Linked DNA regions of Saccharomyces cerevisiae S288C. The protein of the gene in region 1 binds, or shares a complex with, the protein of each later gene. Each region holds a gene or a part of one and is shown on either strand. Other genes may lie near its edges.

Region 1 (3,796 bases):
GCTGGAGACAGAGTTTTACCACTTATCGTTCTTTCGCGCAAATATTGAACTTCATTATTAGCGTCAACCACTTCGAACATGTCAACTGATGATATAGTCTTTTGATTATTGGTTAAAGAGGTTAATAGTGCAGAAATTAATTGGTTTTTTTCGAACTGCAAAGGGTTCCTAAAAAGAGTATTGTTTTGACCAACGAAATAAGACAATTTTCTACTAGAAAATTTGTTGCCTCTAGGTTTCAAAATCTCTCCGTCATCTAAAACTCCATTTGTCAATTGAAATTGTTCAACAACGATCTGCAACTTGTCATACTCATCTTTGGAGGTACAGTAATCGTGAAAGCAGCTATTATTAAGGGAACTCAAGGCACACTGTAAACATTTGCAGTTATCCAAGTCCTCCATTGTTTCATTATTCACAGTAACGCATGACCGACAAAATGCATATTGTTCATCAAAATAACGGGACACGCATTCACTTAAATTTCGTTTCTTCACATGGATCTTGTCAGTAATAAAATCTAGAGAATATTAGTACCTCGGTAAATTTGTTGTACATACGCAACTGGAGAGGAAGGGGGAAATCAGTTGTGAATTGTAACCTGGACATAAGTTAGGATCTGCCACAGTTTTGCTTTGAACCGCTGCGAGAACGCTCCCACCACCACCGGCAAAGAGAACCAGCAGAGCGCTTAGACATTCCAACATTATCAGTATATCTCGTGTGTTCCTGCCTCTTGATGATTTTAGCTAGCTGTAATGTGTAACGAATTATTCCCTTACTGCTTCTTGAGTTAGCCGCCAAAGAGGAAATATAGCCACAAAAAGAACTTACAGAAAAGATAAGGTAAAAAAAAAAAGTGATCTATAATGGGAAAGAAAAATCCAAACTTCTTCAAAGAGTATATATATGTACAGGATATTAAAATGTAATGATAGTAGTAATAATAGTATTAACATAAGCTAAGCGGATCTTGCTGTTTCCAAAGCTTTTCTTGTTGCATCATCCTCTAACTTTTGAATTTCTTTCATAATAGTATCATATTTACTTTTTTGCTCTTTAGAAGTAACATCGTTAACAACATATATGTTTGGTGACGCGTAATTATCAGAAAATGGGTGGATAGCATTTGGCTCAGCTTCTTTATAAGCGAGTTTAGGATCGTTGGCAGATGGCAAAATTTTTTCCTTAATATACCTTTTAAACTGCAAGGGTGTGCTTAAAGTGGTCAGTTCATAATCAGGAATTAGATAGCCAGATTTAGATTGCAAAAATTTGGTGAACTGAAATTTAGCTACCAAATCAGAGAATTGGACGTCCTGGTCTACTTTGCCCAATGTTTTTTCCGTTGCCTGCAATATCATATCATCTAACTGATTATCAGACGTAATCTTATCCCTGGATAACCACTGATTGAATGGCGCAGAGGAGACCGCAAGCTTCAACTCCTTCTGTCTCTTACACCGTCTAGACCCTTCGCCAATAAAATTTTCTGGTATTAGCTCCAATCTGTTTTTGTTATTGGAAGAGGATTGAGAGGAAGCCTCGTTAGTGCCTTCTTCAATATCCTTTATCAACTGTTTGGTGTCCTTGACAGGCTCTTGGTGCTCTTCTTGCTTCTTCCTCTTGAACCATGACATAAAGTCCCCGTTTGCAGCGGAACTGTGAATACATCTGGCTTTCTGCTTGTAGCCAGAGAGCCAGACCGACCTTTGCGGCAATGGTCTAATACAATGTAATTTAAGCAGTGACGACATCCTCATACTATGTCCGCCTTTCCGTCTACCCATTATTCACTTCAGGACTGATGATCAGGCATGCAGTTAATTTGACAGAAGTCGTTGTTTCACTATAAATTTGTCAGCTACCCGCCTCACCAGCAGCGATAAAGAACGAAGAATAAAAGAGAGCATTCACAGAGTACGAATCCAGTATAGCGGTAGTGGATACAACGACAGATTTAAGTCGTAAAAATGGGAGCCGTACTCAGCTGTTGTAGAAACCATTCCGGCGAAGAGAATGAAGCTTTGCTGAGGGAACAGCAGGCAGGCTATGGAAGTCAAGGAAACGCAAATGACGAATACGATGCCGAACAAATGCGGTTGAAGGAACACGAACACGAACAGAAACTGCTGGCCAGGGAACAAGAGTTAAGAGACATTGTTGCAAACACCAACGATAAACTAATAGACATATCGATGATAAACAATAGTGGCATTGTAATTCAAGGGACAGACCTGCAAGAAGCTCTTGATAAAAGACAACAGGAAGAAGGTGGAGATTCCCGGGAAGACGAAAGGAGTGCAGGTGATGACAACCTCAGTGGGCACTCAGTGCCTTCAAGCGGATCCGCACAGGCAACTACTCACCAAACTGCACCAAGGACTAATACGTTTACTCTGCTTACATCACCGGATTCAGCGAAAATATCAAAGGAACAGTTAAAGAAGTTGCACTCTAATATACTAAATGAAATTTTCAGCCAGTCCCAGGTAAACAAACCAGGCCCCTTGACGGTTCCCTTTTAATGAACTTTTTGTATAACATCATTGGTATACAAGCTTTATAAATAAATGTTAAATAGTTAATGAAATAAAAAATCACATTTGACGAATTCGGAAGACAAGTAGCCCAAGAAAAAAAACAACAAAAGCATGCTAGAGGATGATGTTTAAAACGACCCTCAGCCTGTTATTACAATAGAGAGCAAACCAAAGAATAATAGATAAAGTACACAGATATGGTAGTTAAGAAGCGTAAGTTGGCAACTGAGGCCGGTGGCAGTGATGAAAGGCCTAAATACTTGCCGGGAAAACATCCTAAAAACCAAGAGAAAACTCCGCATGTGGATTATAACGCCCCATTAAACCCTAAATCTGAACTTTTTCTAGATGACTGGCATATACCTAAATTTAATCGATTTATTAGTTTCACTTTGGATGTTCTTATCGACAAATACAAAGATATTTTCAAAGATTTCATCAAACTACCAAGTAGGAAGTTTCATCCACAGTATTATTACAAGATCCAGCAGCCAATGTCTATTAATGAAATCAAGTCAAGAGATTATGAATACGAAGATGGTCCAAGTAATTTTCTTTTGGATGTTGAGCTACTGACAAAGAATTGTCAAGCTTACAATGAATATGACAGTTTGATTGTAAAAAACTCCATGCAAGTAGTAATGTTGATTGAATTTGAAGTATTGAAGGCAAAAAATTTGAAAAGAAATTACTTAATTAACAGCGAGGTCAAAGCCAAATTACTGCACTATCTTAATAAGCTAGTTGACGCCACGGAAAAGAAAATCAACCAGGCTCTGCTGGGTGCGTCATCTCCTAAAAACTTAGACGACAAAGTCAAGCTAAGTGAACCGTTTATGGAATTAGTCGATAAAGATGAACTTCCTGAATATTATGAAATAGTGCATAGCCCCATGGCTTTATCGATCGTAAAGCAGAACCTCGAAATTGGTCAGTATTCCAAGATATATGATTTCATCATTGATATGCTTTTAGTTTTTCAGAATGCTCATATATTCAATGATCCAAGCGCTTTGATTTACAAAGACGCAACAACTTTAACAAATTATTTTAACTACTTAATACAAAAGGAATTCTTCCCAGAGTTACAGGATTTAAATGAACGTGGCGAAATTAATTTAGAATTTGACAAATTCGAATTCGAAAACTACTTAGCTATTGGTGGTGGTGGTCCAGCCGCAGCAGGTGCGTTAGCTATATCTGCTCTTGATAATGATATTGAGCCAGAATCTAACCGTGAAGATCTTATTGAT
Region 2 (2,887 bases), on another chromosome or scaffold:
TTGGAAGGCTTATTCACGTGAAAAAGATCACCGGACTGTACAACCATGTCTACGTTGTTATTTTTGGCCAGCATCATGACTTCATGGAAAGTTTTCCAAGAATCATCGCCAGTAATGGGATCATTTTCGTTGTAACCCACATGATTATCTGTAGTAATTAAAATCCTTATTGTGTCTGGATCAGGATAGTCCATAGTCGAGTTTTATCGGATCTGAGCAGGTACAACTTGCGTCAATTGTCTGCATTCTCTTAATGTTGTTTCCACATTGTCTTCCTTACAAGCGTAAAGAGTAATTTAATATGGCTATAATGTTTGGGTTCTATTCGATTGGCCATACTATTTAAACCTTAAGTCAGTTTGGTTGGGTATATCTATCTATACGTTTGTGTAATTGCATATATATTATTTACAGGCTTGCTTGTGAACTCTGACTTTGTTTTTGTTAGAATATTAGAAACGTGCATGCCTACAATGAGATTTGTAGATGCCTTTATTTTCTCAATGCATTTCCAACATATGTTTGAGATCCAGCTGTTTCGAGTGACGGTCGAAATGATTGGCTAATTCCTGAAAGTTCATGTTTGATGGATCGACTTCCATTTCTTTTTTGTCCTTGTAGGTTACTTTCACAAGAGGCTTGACTTTATTGTAATCTGAGATAATTTCCGATTGAATCTGCGTGCCCATGTTTCGTTGCGTTGGTGGAATGGCAGCAAGTACTAACCTAGCAACTTTCGCTGAAATCAATGATATGACCATATCATTTGCTGTTAGTATTTGTGATAGATCGGTTCGAGCCTACCTCAGCCTAGTTTAGCCAAATCTTTAAATCATGATGGCCAAAGGTAAGGAGAACGAATAACAGAGCGAAAAAAAATACATACCTTCCTTGCCAAAGGGATTAAACCTGACAATTACCTTACTGAAGTATTTAGTTATCATGGCGAAGATATAATTAAGCTCGTTTCTTCTTCACATCTGTTCATCCTCTATTTGAGGATCCATAAGTTTATCTCTTTTATTTCGCCGGTATATTCCGTAGAATCGCGCAAAACGGTTCAGGGAAGAATGAAATAGCTAAAAAGTCTTACATGTATAAAAAGTATACAGATTTACTTAGTTTAGCTAGGTTTATCCACGGAAGATATGATGAGGTGACGCTTGGTTTGTTGGAAAGATTAAAGTGTCTGCAATTACAGTATTTTGTTTTCTGGAAGTTGCATAGACGATCAGATCAGCCACGTCATCAGCCATCAATGGGGTAGTATCCTTGTAAACATTCTTGGCTTGTTCCTCGTTACCTCTGTATCTAACTAGTGAAAATTCAGTCTCGACTAGCCCTGGTGCAATTAGAATGACTCTAATTTTAGTGTTGATGAGCTCCTTTCTCAAACTATCAGTGAACGCCCCCACGGCAAACTTAGAGGCACAATAGATAGAACCTGTTGGGTATGCGTCTCTGCCAGCGATTGAACCCAAATTTACAATATCTCCTGAATTCTTGGCTTGGAATATGGGCAGTACAGCTTGTGTGATATTGATTAAAGCCGTGACGTTGGTGTCAAACACGTCCTGGATATCCTCCGTTGCGATCTGGCCCACACGGTCACTGCCAAGAGCCTTTCCGGCATTGTTCACCAGAATGTCAATATCCTTGAACTCTTGTGGCAAGTTTTCAATGAAGGGCTTGATTTTTTCTGCTTGAGTGATATCCAGCTGGGCCACATGAACTTTTGCGTTTGGAAACTCTTGATCAATGGTCTTCTTCAATTCCTCGAGCTTTTCTAATCTTCTAGCAGCCAAGATCAGTTTCATATCACCATTGGATGCCTCCAAGTACTCTAATGCGGTCGCCTTACCAATACCAGCAGATGCACCTGTAATGAGGACAGTCTTCTTAGCCAATCTTTCTGCAGCTTTTCTACCTTGGGACATTATCAAAATACGTTCTCAATGTTCTATTTCCCGCCTTTACTAGTGAGCTTGAACACTTTCTATGCGCCATGCTGTTTCATCTATCCTCCTTTCTTCAGCTTTTTATATCGCTCCGATAAGAAAAATCGGTGTCGTGCCTTAATATATATCAATGCTATACGTCATAGAGTAGAGTCGTATAGTGTATAAGAGTAATATATAGATGATAAAGAGAACTTACTCATCACCCTCTGCACCAAATAGCATCATCATATCGAGATCGTTCTGGTCGAGTGTTTCCTCTGCGGGGGCTTCATCAAGTTCGCGCACCACCTTGTTCTCTTGTATGTGTTCCCGTTCATGCACATTATCCTCGTCCTCATCGTTTTCTTCGTCATCCTCCTCGTCTTCGTCCACTTCATCCTCTTCCTCTTCTTCTTCCTCTTCCTCTTCTTCTTCCTCGACGTTATTTGCAGTTTCTGCGTCAGAGCGATGTTGATGTTGTTTCTGGACAGAATCTTCGGTTTGTTGTAACTGCTTACGTTTTAGTTCAGCCTCCTTCTCGAGCTTTTTAATGCTATCTATGAACCTGCTTTTCAAAAGAGGATTCGTGGCTTTACTTAATTTATGCTTGGTATGGGCCAGGGTGGTCTCTAGTTCGTTCAATTCGTCCGCAAGTAATTCAGTGTGCTGTCTGTTTTCGTCTTTTTCGTCATCAGATTCACTTTCCCCACCAGCAGCTTCAATGTCACCGTCGTCATCATCGTCATCATCTTCTCCGCCTGTGTCTTGATCCACCTCATCACCGACTTCCTCTTGTTGTTGCTCCTTGTCTCCCTCGGCACCGCTACCTTCCTCTTCACTTTCAAAAGCAGCGCCTAGGTCAAGATCCTCCTCTTCTTCTTCTTCCATTCCTTCTTCTCCCTCTTCTTCTGCACCTTGTTTTCCTACTGCCGAAGCAATTGTGTGTA
Region 3 (3,185 bases), 320 kb from region 1:
ATATGCCATGGTCCTAATTGAGTTCCTAGGTTTGTCACGACGGTGGCCACCGGCCGATCAACCGTATCATTTACTATTTTTTTCAAGAGGACAACGACTTCATTCTTCAAAAAGTCGTTCCAGGTACGAGTGATTTAGGAAGGTCTGAAGAAAAGCGACTATGCATTTTTGCAAAATTGCGTCAACGTTTCAGATACTCTCTGGTGCGCAAAAATGCGTTTATTTCAAGCCAAGTTGCAATCTTTATCAAAACTTGATATACATTAAAATACTCACTAATATATATATATATATATATATATGTACATATACATATATAGATTTATATGACGTTTCCGACGCATACTGGTGAACCACTTTCTTTTTAGTGAATAGCCTCATTATGCAGTTTCCGGTATTTTTTTTCCGTTGCTTCAGCTACGGGATTTCTTCGATGCCATTGAAAAATAAAGTTGTGTTCAATGAGAATATGGAAAGAAAAGACACTTTTTACCAGCTGATCTTAAAAGTTTTGTCTGCTTTATTACTTCTATCGGTAAGAAACTCGAGTGGACATACGAGACACTTTGTGCAGTCGTCGGAGAAAATTTATAGGCGATCACTCTTTAAGCAATAAGAAAGTTTCACGTATATTATTGAATAATACATTAATCATATTGTATATCGGTGGTTGTACAAGGAAAGAGCGAGCCTGCACAAAATGTATGTTGATCCGATGAACAACAATGAAATCAGGAAATTAAGCATTACTGCCAAGACAGAAACAACTCCAGATAACGTTGGACAAGACATTCCTGTAAACGCACATTCGGTGCATGAGGAATGTTCTTCCAACACACCCGTGGAGATAAATGGAAGAAACAGCGGAAAGTTGAAAGAAGAAGCGTCTGCAGGTATTTGTTTGGTTAAAAAACCAATGCTACAATATAGAGATACCTCAGGAAAGTATTCCCTAAGTGACTTTCAGATTTTAAGAACTTTGGGAACTGGCTCATTTGGGAGAGTTCACCTAATTCGTTCCAATCACAATGGGAGGTTTTACGCTTTGAAGACATTGAAAAAGCACACTATAGTGAAGCTGAAGCAGGTTGAACACACCAATGACGAACGCCGAATGCTTTCAATTGTTTCACATCCATTCATCATTCGAATGTGGGGAACGTTCCAAGATTCTCAGCAAGTTTTCATGGTAATGGACTACATTGAAGGTGGTGAATTATTTTCTTTACTACGTAAATCTCAAAGATTTCCCAACCCAGTAGCCAAATTTTATGCCGCAGAGGTATGCTTAGCGTTGGAATATTTGCACAGTAAGGATATAATATATAGAGACTTGAAACCAGAAAATATCCTTCTAGATAAAAACGGCCATATCAAGATAACCGACTTTGGCTTCGCAAAATACGTTCCCGATGTCACATACACATTATGTGGCACACCAGATTACATAGCGCCGGAAGTGGTCAGTACAAAACCGTATAATAAATCAGTGGATTGGTGGAGTTTTGGTGTGCTAATCTATGAAATGCTTGCCGGATACACTCCATTTTACAATTCGAACACCATGAAAACTTACGAAAATATACTGAACGCCGAATTGAAGTTCCCACCATTTTTCCATCCAGACGCGCAGGACTTATTGAAGAAGCTAATTACCAGAGACTTAAGTGAAAGGTTGGGTAACTTACAAAATGGAAGTGAAGATGTCAAGAACCATCCGTGGTTTAACGAAGTGATATGGGAGAAATTGTTAGCAAGATACATAGAAACGCCGTACGAACCACCAATCCAACAGGGCCAAGGTGACACTTCTCAATTTGACAGATACCCTGAAGAGGAATTCAACTATGGAATTCAAGGGGAGGATCCATATATGGATTTAATGAAAGAATTTTAAGGAGGTTCAGTGGGATAATTGTAATTGAAAAAAAAAAAAAATCAATAAAAGTAAAAACAAGAACAAGAAAAAGCACAAACAAACCTGGTTATAGATTCTTGGTGAGTCTAACAGGGCCATGATAAAAAAGTGACACATGCATATATGTACATGTATATATCTACGTACGTCTATTCAATAGAGGTGTATACAGATAAATAAAGGAGCATTCATATACGCCATATTGTGACTACATTTGCGTCCTCAGAAGACTGGGACGTTCAAAGTGATCTAGGACTTTTCACCCAGGGAAAACAGGATATCTGTAAGAATCGGCCATAAAACTCATTAATAGAAGAACAGTATAACATAAGTGAGCCTGCTACAATAAGAAGATGTCTAAGGTTGCACAACAGTTAAAATTTTTGAATAAAATTAGCGCCACTACCAGACTACCGCAGATTCTAGTCGATCCTAAAAAATACTCAGGTCTTAGATTGACTTTTCAAACGAAAAACCACAATGGACATATGGGTGCCAGAGTTTTTTGGCATAACTACCTACCCACTTTGCAGTTCTATAATCCAAGAATGAAGTTTGACGTGATAAGGATAAAGAACGAAGACAAGCAAAAAAGCGTTCCATGCAAACTGGAGATTTTATCTCATGAAGGCTCCGTTGTAGAGACTATTGATATGCGTAATAAAATGCATGAAGATATAATGAAAGACTTACTTGACAAAATAGAGCACGTTCCTCTTCCTGAAAATGAGATCATAAGAGTTGGACCGCAAGAAAGTATTATATAAGCTTTCTCTCGATAAGTTTGTTCATGTATATATCAAAAAACATTGCCCTTCATGGAAATATGTAAATTCAAAACTCACTTATGGGGCATATAAGTATATAATTTAGAGTACAATAAGTAGGATTGTGCTGAATATTGTCAGCCCTTGGGTCCCTTTTTTTGCCCTCCGCGTATTTCTTGTGGAAAATAAGGAAATTTCATTTTCACTTCAACTAGCTAGTTTAATTGCATGATGGACTCAAAAACATTGACAGCATCAATGGTAATGCAGGAGGAGAAGAAGCGGCAACAACCTGTGACAAGAAGAGTAAGGTCATTTTCTGAGTCCTTTAAAAACCTTTTCAGGCCGCCTCGTTCAAGAGATTCAAGTCCTATTAATGTCACCCGAATTCCTTATCGATCGTCTTCTACCTCACCCAAGAGAAGCTCTGAGCCACCAAGACGATCAACCGTATCCGCACAAATTTTAGATCCAAAAAATTCTCCAATACGCCAGCGTAG

What was found. The genes of interacting proteins can lie anywhere in the genome.
Region 2: MRPL13 (region 1) and MRPL44 share a complex: the UniProt entries of both Saccharomyces cerevisiae proteins name them as parts of the mitochondrial large ribosomal subunit.
Region 3: MRPL13 (region 1) and MRP49 share a complex: the UniProt entries of both Saccharomyces cerevisiae proteins name them as parts of the mitochondrial large ribosomal subunit.

Annotation. Positions count from the first base shown.
Region 1 is NC_001143.9:449,461-453,256, forward strand, and holds MRPL13 (mitochondrial 54S ribosomal protein mL50 MRPL13), read right to left. Parts: upstream 1,758-3,796; coding exon 963-1,757; downstream 1-962. Other genes in the region: YKR005C (uncharacterized protein), read right to left, coding at 1-491, 561-707; MEH1 (Meh1p), read left to right, coding at 1,974-2,528; RSC4 (Rsc4p), read left to right, coding at 2,741-3,796. UniProt on the Saccharomyces cerevisiae protein: Component of the mitochondrial ribosome (mitoribosome), a dedicated translation machinery responsible for the synthesis of mitochondrial genome-encoded proteins, including at least some of the essential transmembrane subunits of the mitochondrial respiratory chain.
Region 2 is NC_001145.3:720,460-723,346, forward strand, and holds MRPL44 (mitochondrial 54S ribosomal protein mL53 MRPL44), read right to left. Parts: upstream 945-2,887; coding exon 887-944; intron 740-886; coding exon 501-739; downstream 1-500. Other genes in the region: MRE11 (MRX complex nuclease subunit), read right to left, coding at 1-194; ORA1 (oxidoreductase), read right to left, coding at 1,134-1,937; TATA-binding protein-associated factor TAF7, read right to left, coding at 2,154-2,887. UniProt on the Saccharomyces cerevisiae protein: Component of the mitochondrial ribosome (mitoribosome), a dedicated translation machinery responsible for the synthesis of mitochondrial genome-encoded proteins, including at least some of the essential transmembrane subunits of the mitochondrial respiratory chain.
Region 3 is NC_001143.9:133,221-136,405, reverse strand, and holds MRP49 (mitochondrial 54S ribosomal protein mL61 MRP49), read left to right. Parts: upstream 1-2,271; coding exon 2,272-2,685; downstream 2,686-3,185. Other genes in the region: cAMP-dependent protein kinase catalytic subunit TPK3, read left to right, coding at 701-1,897; putative serine/threonine protein kinase KKQ8, read left to right, coding at 2,944-3,185. UniProt on the Saccharomyces cerevisiae protein: Component of the mitochondrial ribosome (mitoribosome), a dedicated translation machinery responsible for the synthesis of mitochondrial genome-encoded proteins, including at least some of the essential transmembrane subunits of the mitochondrial respiratory chain.